2 linked regions of the Sus scrofa genome follow. The protein of the gene in region 1 interacts with the protein of each later gene in a biochemical or structural test. Links are inferred from orthologs where the notes say so. Each region holds a gene or a part of one and is shown in the gene's direction. Other genes may lie near its edges.

Region 1 (7,394 bases):
CCATTTTTTACACGAGGAAACTGAGGCATAGAGAGGTTAAGTATTTGGCCTCACAGAGTTTTATGGCAGGTGAATGAGCTGCAATTCCTGCACAGGTCATCCAGCCCCAGTGTTGGTAGGAAGGGGACCTGCCAAAGGAGGGGGCAGGACAAGCTGCCGAGTGCCAAAATCAAGTAGAGTGTGAGTTCCTGTTGTGGCTTAGTGGGTTAAGATCCCGATTAGTATCCATGAGGATGCGGGTTCAATCCCTGGCCTAGCTCAGGGGGTTAAGGATCCGATGTTGCTGTGAGCTGTGGTATAGGTCACAGGAATGGCTTGGATCCTGAATTGCTGTGGCTGTGGCTGTGGCCGGCAGGTACAGCTCCGAGTCAACACCTGGGAACTTCCATATGCAGAAGGTGTGGCCCTAAAAAGCAAAAAAAAAAAAAAAAAAAAAAAAAATCAAGTAAAGTGTGACTTTCACATAAACTGAAAGGAAAATACCCCCCAACACCCACACGTTCAAGGCCCAATATTCTTTTTTTTTTTTTTTTTTGTCTTTTTGTCTTTTTAGGGCCACACTAGTGGCATATGGAGGTTCCCAGGCTAGGGGTCGAATCAGAGCTGTAGCTGCTGGCCTACACCACAGCCACAGCAATTCCAGATCCGAGCCTCATCTGAGACCTACACCACAGCTCATGGCAACACTGGAACCTTAGAGATGCCAGGGATGGAACCCACAACCTCACGGTTCCTAGTTGGATTTGTTTTCACTGCGCCATGCCGGGAACTCCAAGGACCAATATTCTTAATGCACACTTCAAGGCTGCTCAGAGGACCTGAGAGGAGTCAAAAAGGACCATGAAACAGAGAGAAAGGCTCAGTTCTGGAAAGCTCCATTCCCAGAACCATTCTTCCTGGATGGCCCCTGCTCCTCATCTCCTCCACACACCACTCCCCGAGGCTTTGAGCCCAGCCTCTGACGGCCTCAAGTCACCGTCCCAAAGCCCTGCGGTCCCACCCAGAAGAGACCACAAATGAAAGGACGACCATCATAATCCTGGGAAATTTAACAAAGGCACCAACAAATCCACACCATAAGGCGGAGAGAGGTAGGTGGGACTGGTGGGCCCAGAGAGACCTGGAACTCATAGTAATAAAAGCCTGCAGAGGGAAGAACCCTTACCAGTTTATAAGAACCTTTCATGTACTTCCTAACTCCCCTGATATTGCTCAACTCTTAGCTTAGGCAAGACAGAAATGACCAGATCAAGTTGTCAATGGAGATAAGTTCCAGAGAGGGGCAATAAATGACTCAAGATCGCACACTGAACTAGGAGTTAGATGTCCGAAAGCCCTTCCAGTGTACCACGCAGAGACAGGGCCAGAGGGGTGCCAGGGAGGAGGGGCAGGGAGGCAGAGGCTGATGGGAAAGACCCAAGAGCAGACCTGCTCTTCCTCATGAGTTCCGGGGAACTCCACGGGCAGGGTTTGGCCTCCTGAACCCTCCTTCTTCCCTCGGTTGATCAGGGTAGCACTGTCTTCACTTCTTCATTCCCAACCCTGGGTGAGCTGGATTCTAAAGGGAAGAGGAGAAGGATCAAAGCCTTTTACATAGAATGAGACAGCTAGCACTTTTGACAATTTCTAACCTCTGTCACTGAACTTCAGCGCAGGGAATGCCCATAAAGACTAGCTCTCCCCCCACCCCGCCACTGCCACCCATTGTAGAGATGGAAGACTAAGGCCCAGAGATAGGAAGTGACTTTCCAGGAGTTCCTGTCGTGGCTCAGTGGAAACGAATTCCACCAGGAACCGTGAGGTTGTGGGTTCCATCCCTGGCCTCGCTCAGTGGGTTAAGGATCCGGCATTTCTGTGAACTGTGGTGAAGATCACAGATGCGGCTCGGATCTGTCATTGCTGTGGCTCTGGCGTAGGCCAGTGGCTACAGCTCTGATTAGACCCCTAACCCGGGAACTTCCATATGTTTGGGGTGTGGCCCTAAAAAGGACAAAAGACAAAAAAAAAAAAAGTGACTTTCCAGGAGTTCCTGCTGTGGCACAACAGGACCGATGGTGTCCCTGGCGAGCTCGATGCAGGTATGATCCCCAGCCCAGAGGAGTGGGTTAAGAATCTGGAGTTGCCAGATTTTCCAGAAGTCCACAGCAACTCAGTCACAGAAATCTAGGTTTCCTTATCGGGGCTTAGTAGAGAAGGGCCTTTCCTTCCTTTGCTTGACCTTCATATAAGTTCCTCGGGGAGAGCCCTGGGATCCAGGAGTCTTAGATCAGTCCTAGCCATCCTGGCTATGGGGAGACCCAGTGGCCTTGGGGCCTCCTCCTACAGAATGTAGATTTCAAAAAGCATAAGTCATTCTTCTCTGTTGGGCCGGGATGTAATTCTGGCCCTAGAAGAGCATTCTGCTCATAATAAGTGCCTAATGAATATCCACTGAATGAATGAACCTCTAGAGGGTCAGGTTTTGGGAAGTGTCACGATGAAAGCCTGAAGCCTAAAAGAGAGGACTAGGGAACCACACGCGTCATCTTCAGACATAGGAAAGGCTAAAGTTCTGTCCACAAATATTTACTGAGGGCCCACTAGGTGTTGGGATTCGGGTGAGAACCACACAATCACGCCTTCACCTCAAGCAATCACAGGTCACAGTAATGCGGAATTGTTTCTTTTTTGTGTCCTTCAGAGGGTAAACCCTGGTGCAAGGTGGGGGCGAAGGGGTGTAGGTGATATGCTGCTCAACATAATGGACTCTTTTCTCAGCCTGAGCTGTCCTGAAATGGTCTCACTGCTCAGAAGGTGGTGAGTGCGGCGGGACTGCAGTGTTCAAGCCGGGCGCCAGCCGCCCACCTGTCAGAAGCTGTGCCAGGAGTATGCGGGAGAAGAGCTTTCCGCCTCGGGTGAGGTCACTTCCCACCCCCAGATACTCTGCCTACAAACCCTGCAACTCTCTGACGCCGGATCTTATTCTTTTCCGAATTTCAAGGTCTCATGATGTGGACAGCCCCAAATTCTAAGTCGTCAATCTGCCCACACCCCCGGAACCCAAAAGGAATAAAGCCGAATTCAGCCAGGGTCCTACCACCCTCTGTCTCAAAAGATGTCTGGGGGTAGTCGGCGCCCCCTCCCGACTTGTGGGAGCCAGGGTGCCGAGGACGTCGTGGGGAGCTAGGTGTCCCGGAGACCGAGTTGACAGAGTGGAGACACGTGACAGTCAGAGCATCACGTTCTAAGGTCCAAGAGGCTGGGACCGGGCCAGTCACGTGACGCGGGGGGGGCGCCATGGGGTGATGTGAGATGCTGGGTCCCTAGATTACGTACCAATGACGCATTTCCACCTCTTTTGGCAACTAGATTTCCGTTGGAAGATGCGATAGTTCCGGCAAAGGGGGCGGGTTCTCACGTCCTGGCAATTTTGCTTCCGTTCGGGGAGCTGGCGCTTCCGACCTCCGCCTTTCCCTCGGGCGGGGAAGGGACGCGGTGCGGTGCGCATGCTCCAGTCATCCCAGAGGGGGCGGGGCTGAAGCTACGGGAGCGGGAGGGGGGTAAGAAAAGGGAGTTCCAACCTGTGGAAACTTGGGGGTCCCCGAGGTCGGCTCCTTGTCCTCGACGGTGGATGGTGTCAGGGATAGAGCCTCTGGCGGCTCGTGGGGGGCGGTTAGGGGTCCACAGGGTGAGGGCAGAGAGAAGTGTCAAGAGAGTGAGTGGGGTACAGGAGTTCCAAACTTAGAATCTCGAGGCCCTCTGGGCTCCCGCGCCGGGGAGAGGGAGCTCGGGCCGCCATGCGGGACAGGACCCACGAACTGAGACAGGTGAGAAGTCCGGCGCAGCGGGGTTGGGACAGGAGGACGGGGTAGGGTCTAGTTGGAATGCAGGACTCCTGGTCTTCGGGGCAGGGCAGGGAGGGGTAGCTGTGGGATTGGAAGACCCGGAAGCCCGTGAATCCCGCGGGGCGAAAGCAACAGCAAGGAAGTGATGCCAATGACCCCGGCCCTGTCAGGGAGATGACAGCTCTGACGATGAGGACAAGGAGAGGGTCGCGCTGGTGGTACACCCGGGCACGGCACGGCTGGGCAGCCCAGACGATGAGTTCTTCCAGAAGGTAAGAGGCTGGGGTCTCGGTCTGGATTCACGAGGGGGCTGGATGACCCGAGGTGCAGAGCGGTCTGGAGGACTCCCATATCTGCTTCAGCCCTCTCGGTCATCCTCCCCAGGTCCGGACAATTCGGCAGACTATTGTCAAGCTGGAGAATAAGGTCCGAGAGTTGGAGAAGCAGCAGGTCACCATCCTGGCCACGCCCCTTCCCGAGGAAAGTGAGTGAAATCGCGAGTGCAGAACGCATGCTCAGTCAGAGGGATTGTGGGGATGGTAGTTCCATGCAGGTGGTGGCCAGGGAGATTTGTTGAGGTAGGGGCCGTGCTTTGGGCATCATGGCTTTTTCTTGTTCAGGCATGAAGCAGGACCTGCAGAACCTGCGTGACGAGATCAAACAGCTGGGGAGGGACATCCGCGCAGAGCTCAAGGGTGAGCGTCTAGGAACTCAGATAGATACTTTGCTCTGATCCTGCCCAATGCCTGATATATCCGCGAGTGTGTGACCCAGAGAGGCCAGTGATATATAACCAGACCACACAGCAGGCCTGTGTCTCGAATCTCCATCTCCTGGCTTCCAGTCCAAAGTTCTTTCCACAGCGCAGGCCTGCCTCTCAGGTTCCCTTATTTACAATGAAACCATTTACATTTGACCCTTGACCAAGGTGGAGATTAGTGTGGCCACTGGCCCGCCCCCAGTCATAATCTGCAAACAATTCATGGTCCGCCCACCATATCCCAGGTTCTTCGTGGGTGGATTCACCAAAACGTGGAATGTGCAGTGGTGTATTCTGCATTTATTTTCTAAAAATCCAGGTGTAAGTGGATCCACACAGTTCAAACCCATGCTGTGCTAGGATCAATTGTGCTCCTACAATTCCTCCTGCCTAGGGTGCATCCTTGGTGCAAACAGATGACAGTTTTGTTCGGAGGCCTTTGCATACCTGTGGGAATTCTCTGGTATACTTATTTGCAAAGGAAAGTATACTTTCACCTGTCAGAGCCTCAGAATATCATTTTATGATCAATTCTATTTCCCCCAAAACATCCTATGGAGATTAACAGCTCTCTATTGTATGGCCAGGCAGCTGGGGTCCTAAGTCCCCAAATGAATTTCAGAAGCCACAGGTCAAACCCTTTCCTCTGCCAATACCCTTATATCTTCCCACAGCCATAGAGCCCCAGAAGGAGGAAGCCGATGAGAATTATAACTCGGTCAACACAAGAATGAGAAAAACCCAGGTGGGTTCATTATTCCCAGAACTAGGACATTTCAACAAGTGTTTTCTAGATAAATAGCTGGCAGATGTAAGAAGGAAGGGTGCCTAGAGATCCTTGGGTCCAGCCTGATGATGTTCCAAATGGGGAAACTGAGGCTCCGAGAGAAAAAGGACTCACTTAAGGTCAAGAACCCAGGTCTCCTAACTTCCAGTCCATTATAACATCCTGCCTGCTTCTTCTCCACTCAATGAGAAGTTGCTGAGATCCCAGACATGCTCTGGGCTCAGCTGTAGGAGATACACTTTCTAGAAGCCAAGAGGGGGAGTTAAGCTTGAATAGATGATAAAGACATAACTCAGGAAGGACTTGGCAGCTAATGGCTCTGCCCAGGGAAGAAGAGGGCCCAGTCAAATGACTGGGAGGTTCCCTGCCCATGTGACAGGGACATCCTCTGCTCCAGAGGCCGAAATCAAGAAGTCAGGAAGAGAAGAAGTTCCCGTCATGGCGCAGTGGAAATGACTCCGACTGGGAACCATGAGGTTGTGGGTTTGATCCCTGGCCTTGCTCAGTGGGTTAAGGATCCGGTGTTCTCATGAGCTGTGGTATAGGTCACAGACGTGGCTCAGATCTGGCGTTGCTGTGGCTGTGGTGTAGGCTGGCAGCTGTAGTTCCGATTAGAACCCTAGCCTGGGAACCTCCATGTGCTGCGGGTGCAGCCCTAAAAAGCCAAAAAAAAAAAAAAAAAAAAAAAGAAGTTAGGAAGAGGAACTTCTGGGGGTGGGGTATGGGGGGAAGGTCACTGAGTCACCATCTTTGTAAGGAGAGTTGAGGTCTGACCAGCCTCCTCTTGGTGCCCAGTGGGGAGGGGTTTTGCATACTTAGAGCTCAGAGTTGGAATAGGTGGGCCCAGAGCTCAGCAAAGACCCCAGATTGAAGACGAAACAGTTTGGGCATCTTGAAAGGGTGCAGCTGAAGCCGGGAGAGCAGCTGTGTCTCTGAGGAAATCCAAGGAATGAGCACATTTTATTTTTTTATTTTTGTGTCTTTTTAGGGCCACACCCACAGCATGTGGAAGTTCCCAGACTAGGGGTCAAATCAGAGCTATAGCTACCATCCTACACCACAGCCACAGCAACCCCAGAGCCATGCCGTGTCTTTGACCTATACCACAGCTCACAGCAATGCCAGCTCTTTAACCCAGTGAGCAAGGCCAGGGACCGAACCCACGTCCTCATGGATACTAGGCGGGTTCTTAACCGTTGAGCCACAACAGGAACTCCAGGTGTGAGCACATTTTACTTATATTTATTTATTTATTTATTTTGTCTTTTTGCCTTTTCTAGGGCTGCTTCCCACGGCATATGGAGGTTCCCAGGCTAGGGGTCTAATCGGAGCTGTAGCCACTGGCCTACACCACAGCCACAGCAATGTGGGAAATGAGCCACATCTGCAACCTATACCACAGCTCATGGCAATGCTGGATCCTTAACCCACTGAGCAAGGCCAGGGACTGAACCCGCAACCTCATGGTTCCTTGTCGGATTCGTTAACCACTGCGCCACGACGGGAACTCCAAGCACATTTTAGACACTGAGGAATGGACAAGGTGAGAGGGCGTTTCAGGGGGAGGTTATGGTGGTCGCTGGTGTGAGAGGCTGGAGTGGACCTGTGAAGTCTGGGCAATCACTGGACCTCCAGGTATACCTGGCCCACCTCTAGTCTAAGCCGTGAGGCTGGTGTTCAGCAAGCATTCAACACCTATTTATTAAGGGTCTACTGTGTGAGGGCCTTTTCTAGCTGTTTGTGAACCAAAGACCCCAATCCTCGCGGAGCTTACATTCTGGTAGGAGAGAGAAGCACCATAATAAATCAGGAAGTTATTTCAGAACATAGGGTGGGTTAAGGGACCAGAGCAGGAGAAGAGGGATTGAGAACACTAGGAGAAGGCAAGTAGCAATTGCAATAAGGCAGAGAAAACTCTGTTCACAAGGTGATATTGAGGGAGTTCCCCTTGTGGTTCAGCGGTAATGAACCCGACTAGTATTCATGAGGATGCAGGTTCGATCCCTGGCCTCCCTTGGTGGAT
Region 2 (7,227 bases), on another chromosome or scaffold:
TTGATCATCCAACCTCCATCCAACCAGTGACCCATGGCAAGAAAAAAAAAAAGATTATTTGAAACAATTGTGTTTGGGGCTGATTTGTCATACAGCAATAGCTGACTGATGCTCTTTCTTTCATCTTCTGACTTCCAATTCAATGCAAATAGGGTTTGCTGTTTGTTATCATGACTTTCTTTTCAGGCAGTGAATCACTGCCTCTTCTTAAGTCCTAGATTAGCAAAAGTTTCAATATCAGGATCTGTATCATCATAATTATGAAAAGCTATTATTAAAGAACCAATAAAATAGTAAAATAAGGTAGGTAAAGCTACACCCACAAAGGAGAACATCATAGGTTCCAGATAAATACTCAGTGAATGATAAAAAATTTGGTCATTTGAAGGCTATTTTATAGTTAACACGTTAGAGAAAACACATTGTTATTAGACAGTATTTTCTATGTGCTTTTTGACATGGTGACTAGGTACTTGGTATGCTAGGAAGACAGATTGCCCAACACCTAGTGGCTCATTGACTAAAACAGACAACACAGAGAGAGGCAGGTAACTGATTAAATATATATATATATATAATATATATATATAATGGGTATTGGATAAATTGATAATAAAAGGGTAAAGTTAGATTTTTAACTAGTTTGATCCTGCCATTTCAGATTGTTGGAAGCATCATCAAACCCCAGAAAATCCATTCTTCTGTCTCCCTAGAAACCTGCATCAGCCTTCCAGCTATAAAAAGTTATATGCTTTTCTTGGAGTTCAGGAGGTTCAAATCCCCTAGTTCTCTAATCAATGGCTCAAAACTGGGGTGGGGTGTGGGATAGAGGAGGGGTATGGTGTACCAATAGTAGCCCACTTACAAGAAGGATATGGCTATTCATCAATTCCCTGGTGTTTCCTGGAGATGATGGTAAGACCATGTCTAACACCTGGTTAGCACCCAAGAATATTTGCTAAATGAAAAGAGGACAGGAACTAGGCCCTGTCCTACCCCCTCCATTCTTCCAGTATCTGTTTCATGTCAGTTTGATCAAATGGCATTCATTGTCTGGTTCCTCCCACTCCCACTTGTTCCATGGTTCCAGCCCTATGATTCAGCCATCACACACTTCCCAATTTGCTCATTGATCACAACCCCCCAACACCAGTCTCTGGCACAGTGACCTCGATACCTGCAGGTATTCCATTTCAGCTCTCAACTGCTTTCTTAATGTGTATTAACTGTATTTTGTACACAGCTCCCACCATGACTGTAACTCCAGAAAGATGGACTTTGAGTCTCAATTTTCTTTTTAATATTCTTTCTAAGAGCTTCATGCTGGGCAGGGAAGTACCCAGTGCTGTACCACCTACAAATCAATTTATTCCACAATAACTCATCTGACCTTCACCACAGTGCTCTCACGTGGACAGTACAGCCCTACCTGTTCAAATGAGGACTTGGAACACAAAGAGAGTCACAGAGGTAGAATACAGAGCAATCAAAATGCAAACCCAGTTTTCCTGTCTCCAACTCAGAATTATTTCTTTGCATCATGTTATTTTAAAAAGTACCAGCACTGCTGAAATTCTTGGACATCCTTTATAATATTCAAACTTAAAAGAGAAAATAAGCAATTGCTAAGAAAAGGAACTAGTGGGTATGGCATCAAAAAACAACCCCAAGAAGACTGAACCACTTAGAAGGCTCATCTTTGCCCAGATGACCATTAGCCATATTCCAATGCAATGATACAGATCTTATGATTCTAGGTTCAGTTTGTAGGACTCTCCCCTCCAAAAATAACTCCAGACTTAGTGGTACGATGAGATTTAGCACAAAGGCCCTACTGGCTTTAAACCTTGGCTTCCAGCCAAGGCTTCAAAGGTGGTGAAAGAAGAAAAGTCGGGAAAGACCAAAGGTTAGCACGGCATCATAAATCACTCAACATCTATTGGAACTTACCTCCTTTATAAATATTTACATTCCAGAGTGATGGGGCACTTGGGCTTTCGGGGGAACCTTAAAAACAGCATCTTGAGAAGGTGTCCAGCTTACTCAATAGCCATTGTGCAGCCTGATTTCACATTGAGATCATTTCTAAAATACCAGCTTGAGCATGAGACTAGTACTAGAAAAGTTCTAGGTCAGGAGGAGGTAAGGGGCTCAGCTCCTAGCTGTTCACTAAATGTGAGAAGCTGAGCAAATTCCTTGGCCAATCTTGACCTTGTTCTTCCCACAAATATTTATTTGAGCACCTACAGTGTGCCAGGCACTGTTAGTAGAATAACCAACCAGACAAAGATCTTGCCCTCAGAGAACTCATGTTCTAGGGGAGATGTATGATAAACAGATAAATAAACATGTAATAAGGACATGAAAACAGTAAGGAGGTTTATGAAGACAGACAGTACAGGTGCAGTGGACAGGATGCTATTTTGGATAGGGTGGTCTTTCGATCAGAGTGAAATAAATGTCTAGGGGAAGAGAGTTCCAGGTGGAAGGGACAGCATGCACAAAGGTAGGGATGTGCTCTGGTGTGTTCAAGGAAAAGGAAGAGGCCAGGGTGGCTGGAACAGATAGAATGAGGGGGAAAAGTGGAAAGGGAGGAGGTGCATGGTAACAGGAGCCGATTTTGGAGGGCCTGTAGGCTTTGTAATGACTTGGGATTAGCAGGTGACAGTACTCTCTGGCTTAATTTCTAGAAGCATGACTTTGGCTGCTTTTTAAAGAAGGACAGTCTTCTCATCTGGAAGCAAAGTGGAGCAGGCAAGAGAAACAAAGATGGCTTCCCTCTGGCCCTCTATGCACTGAGATGCCAAGTCACAGGCTTTGTGGAACAAATCACAGCCCATCTTGGTAGCGGCACAGCTAGGCTGGGGTAGCTCTTTCATCCCAGAGGCCCAGGGCAGTGCTATCCCTCTGCCATTAGCCTATGGGGGAAGGACAGAGCCCAGCCCCCAGAAGCTCCTAAGGGAACTGGTAACCTCCCTGCAGCCCCTGGAGCTCAGAGTGGCCTTTTGAAGATGGCCGCTTTTGGGTGGTTCCTGATATAAATGGAACCCGTTTGCTGTGCTTCATTTCCATCCAGCCACCAGCCTTCCTTCCCAAAAGGTCATCCGGAAAGGCCAATGGGCTTAAGGCATTTGGCCTGAGCCCAGCAGAGTGATTATTCTGCGCATGCTGAAGACATCAGGATCTTACTCCTTTTTCTGGGTCATCTGCTTGGTGTGAATTCACCCAAATAACATCAGTTTGGTATTTTTAGAGATATACTTTTTAAGTGCATTTCTACTCTTCTACAAAAAAAAAAAAAAAAAAAAAAAAATCAAGCTAAGGTTGGGGCAGGATCCCTCTGAGATTTAGAGACCCATTAGGCCTCTTGCCTCCCACCGCTCCTTCTGGAATCAGCCCTCTGCACCCGTGCCTCCTAGCCACTCCAAGAATCCTGAGTCACTTCACCGGTTCTGTTTCCTTCCTTTTCCCAGGCAACGTTCCAGATGCCAAGGAACACTGCAGCTCGGCCATCGCCTCCCTTCTGCAGGGCAGGTATTCGCACCCCTTGGCCTCTCTCCAGTGGCCACGGCTCCAGGCCGCGATGGAAGGTCGGGGAGACAGATTCCCCCCAATCCCCACCCACCCCCGCGAGCAGAAGACGCGAGGCAAGGAGGGGTGGGCGGAGGCGCTGCGCAGGCCGGGCTGAGCTGGGCGGCGGGGATTCGCTGGTGCGCGCAGGATGGGAGGCGGGCTCCTGACTCACTGCGGTACCCGCGGGGCTGCCGCCAGGCCTCCCCCGCCCCCTGCCATCTGCAGCGGGGGCGAGGCGCGCCGGGCGGGCCTCTCCTGGGTCGGGGGTCGTCGTGTGGGCTTTCCAAACAGCCCATGCTCATTTCCGCGGGAGCCCTCGGGGCGCGATGCTGTCACTGTTTGTTTATTTCCACGTCTGCCCCGGGAGGCTCCGCCAGGGCAGAGCTTTCTAATCCACCCCCTGATGCATTCGGGGGCCCTCTCACTTGGCATCGTGCCTGGCACGTCATCACGACTTGGGCGATCAGTAAACAGCAGTGGAAGGAAGGCGGAGGGAGGGGGGTGAGAGACGGGAGAGAAGAGCAAAAACGGAAGCGGCTTCGAGTCTCTGTATCTGCAGAAGCGCAGACCATCTCTCTTGGTAAAACTGGAATTAAAAGTCATCGTTTGGAGGTGTGGGGGCTTGGCGACCCCTCACACACCTCGAGCATCCTCCCCAATGTTTATGCTCCTAGAGTGACAGTGATAGTAATCAGGATGGAAGGAAAGGACCAAGAGAAAAGGGGGGATGTCTCTTACTCTTAAAAATGGGGTGGGGGTCATAAAAGCTCAGTTACTCAGCCCCAACCAACAATTGCCCCCAAAGCAAAGCAGGCTGGTGGCCCCTTCCTTCCTTATCATAACTGGAGAATTTGCAGGGCCTGGAAGATTCTCAGGCACATCTAGGAACCCATTTTACAGATGAGGAAATTGAGGTTCAAGGATTCTCATGTGCCCAAGTCGAGGAAGACAGGATAGGAACAGAGGTGTTGGGGCTTGGATTTCCAGTCCCTTACCCTACCTGCTGCACCCCACCACCTCTCCCTGAGCTTTCTCCCCTCCTGATTTCCCCCCCAAAATGAAAGTTCATGGAAAAAACCCACATCGTGTTTTTGTTCAAGGGGTAGACTCTGAAGATGTAGAATTCTGGAGACAGAGACCAGGCAGCCAGCAGCCTCTGAAACCCCCACCCATTCCGGGTGGGGGAGCAGCTGCCAGAGGCTGCCTAACGACAAGCTTTCTGGGGCAGCTCTGCTAGGGAGAGGTGTGTCTCTCGCAGCTCCAAAAACAGATTTTGCCATCTCATCCCCACTTTTGCAGTCTCCAGTTGGCTTCTTGTGATTGGCCAGAACTTTTCCTCCCTAGCAAGATGAGGAGAATTGGCCTCCTCCGACTGGCTGGGAGAAAACATTTCACCGCAGCAAAGATGCGAATGGCAGTTCCACCTCCCTCTGATGGGGGCCTGGGAGTCAAGTGGGGTCTCACCAGGCTGAATGATGCCAGGGACCCTCCAGGGTCCCCTACCTCTGACCTTGGGGAGAGGTGGCCTCTGACAAGGTAGCTGACCTTAGCCCTTTCATTTTATAATTGAGGGTGTCACAGTGGATGCTTTGGCTTTTTGGAGTGAAACATTTCTCAAAACCTAATTTTAAAAGTTGTCATCAGGGCTGGCAGCTTGGGGACACAGCAGGGGGTTGCTAATATGCTTCAAATTGGGGGCAAGGAGAGCTTCCTGTCTGCCTACTCCAATCCACTCCCACTTGACTATGCCATACCGATTCCACCTTTCTCCACTGTCAAGAACTCTGCCCTGAGAGCTGCCCACCTTTAGCTTGACCTGCAGGCTTCAAGGCATTCCCCAGCATCAGGCTGTATTAGCTTTTAATATCCCAAATGCAGTCCTTCTCTCAGCTACTCATGGAGAACTTAAACTCATACTGAGGCCCAGGCGACACCTCAGATGGAATAAATCAATTTCTGGAGGTGTTTTCCAAAGTTTCTCCCCACCCCCACCCCCTGCCCTCCAGACCCCAGGGACTGTAATGTACAGTGAGATTGAAAACCACTCTTGGGACGATAACTGCTGGGTTCACCTACCCACATCCTTCTAGTAACAGGGCCTGATGTTCCCTTAGAAATCCCACTTTCTCTGGATCCATGTGATTGAGCGATGTTCACTACCCCCCTCACTTCCCACTGTATTCCTCTCCAGGGGGCTAGCAGGTTATCAGTTTGGCCAATTAGCACATGCCATTCCCTCTGGAGAAAGTAATAGTTTCAGCCACAGTACGTGACCCAAGGAGGCCAATGAGAATCCGCCTCAAGACTTTTGCTGAAACTGCTGGGAAAAGAGAGGTCTTTTTGTGCTACAGTTTTTCAGTGGAAAATACGGGAGTGCTGGGCTCCCAGCAGCCGTTTTCATCACCACGTGAAGAAATCCTGCCTGTATACTAAGGCCACACAGAGGAGAAGAGAGATTATTGATAGAGGAAAAAGGATAGAAACCTAATTAAAGCTATGCCTGAAGCCAAATACCCTTCAGTAACAGAAACAAATAAATTCCCCCTTTTCATTCGAACCAGTTTTTGAGCTGGATTTTCTGTGATGTACCACATCACTGCAGAATTAATCTGTTACATAACTAGGTGTTACCTTGAAATGCAGAGAACAGAGTTCTGATCTGAATGGTCGCCATGAAAGTGACCTTTGATGTTCATGGCAAATAGTCTGGAGCATCAGAAGATAACAAGAGGGTGCTATCCACCTTCAAGGACAGTGGCTGGCAGAGGAGAGGGGTGCAGATACTAAAGACTGACATGTCTTATTCCATTGTTTTCTTCAGCGAACATCAAGAGCCATGAGTAGCTCGGCCTGAGCTAAATCTGAAAAGGCTTGAGGCAGAAATAAATAGGTCCCAGGGATAATGTGTGGACTAAATCCTATGTCTGTTAGAGCTCTTTAAATAGCCAATAGAATAATAACTCAGGAAATTATGTGGCCAAAACAAAAGCAGACAATAGACCATCAAGACAATACATTGGATGCTTTCTTAGAGGAAGTTTCCTGGAAAATGTGCCCTCTGTATGAAGGTGCAAGGGAGGGAAAGATGATTGACTCACTGAATTTTCCATTTGAAAATTGGATCAGTTAGTTATGGATACATAACAAACCACACCTAAACTTGGTGGCTTTAAAAAATGATTTATTTGGTTCAACAATGTGAGTTAGGGTCAGCTGGAGCCTTCTCCTGGTCTCAGCTGGGCTCACTCATGTATCTGCAGTCAGCTTCTTCTCAGCTAAGTGATTCTGTTTCTGGAGTTGGCTGGCTGTTGGCTGGGGTGGCGAGAATGACTGGGCCATGTGTCTCTCACCCTTTAGCAGCCTAGCCTGGGCTCATTTACATGGTGGAGGCAGGCTTCCAAGAGTGAGAGGAAAATCACACAACGAATCTTGAGATTGTGGCTTAGAACATGCACGTACTCATTCCACCACACTATTTGTCAAAGCAAGTCACAGCTCTTCTTTTGAAGGGGAGGAGTTGCAAAGTCACATTGCGGTGGGCCAAATGAGAACTGAACTCAGAGATGATTTGATCCAACCTTCCATATTTGACAGGTCAGAAAATACAACCAATGACCTTACCCAGGTCCTCCTCTGATTATGGAGTATTCTGGC

What was found. The genes of interacting proteins can lie anywhere in the genome.
Region 2: the proteins of STX4 (region 1) and SNAP25 form a complex in vitro, tested with the Homo sapiens proteins (3 studies listed by BioGRID). The link is inferred for Sus scrofa from reciprocal best matches to the Homo sapiens genes STX4 and SNAP25.

What each region holds. Positions count from the first base shown.
Region 1 is NC_010445.4:17,427,141-17,434,534, reverse strand, and holds the start of STX4 (syntaxin-4), read left to right. Parts: upstream 1-3,157; 5' UTR 3,158-3,776; coding exon 3,777-3,806; intron 3,807-3,994; coding exon 3,995-4,096; intron 4,097-4,208; coding exon 4,209-4,308; intron 4,309-4,444; coding exon 4,445-4,519; intron 4,520-5,258; coding exon 5,259-5,329; intron 5,330-7,394. UniProt on the Homo sapiens protein: Plasma membrane t-SNARE that mediates docking of transport vesicles. Necessary for the translocation of SLC2A4 from intracellular vesicles to the plasma membrane.
Region 2 is NC_010459.5:19,092,761-19,099,987, forward strand, and holds the start of SNAP25 (synaptosomal-associated protein 25), read left to right. Parts: upstream 1-3,354; 5' UTR 3,355-3,534; intron 3,535-7,227.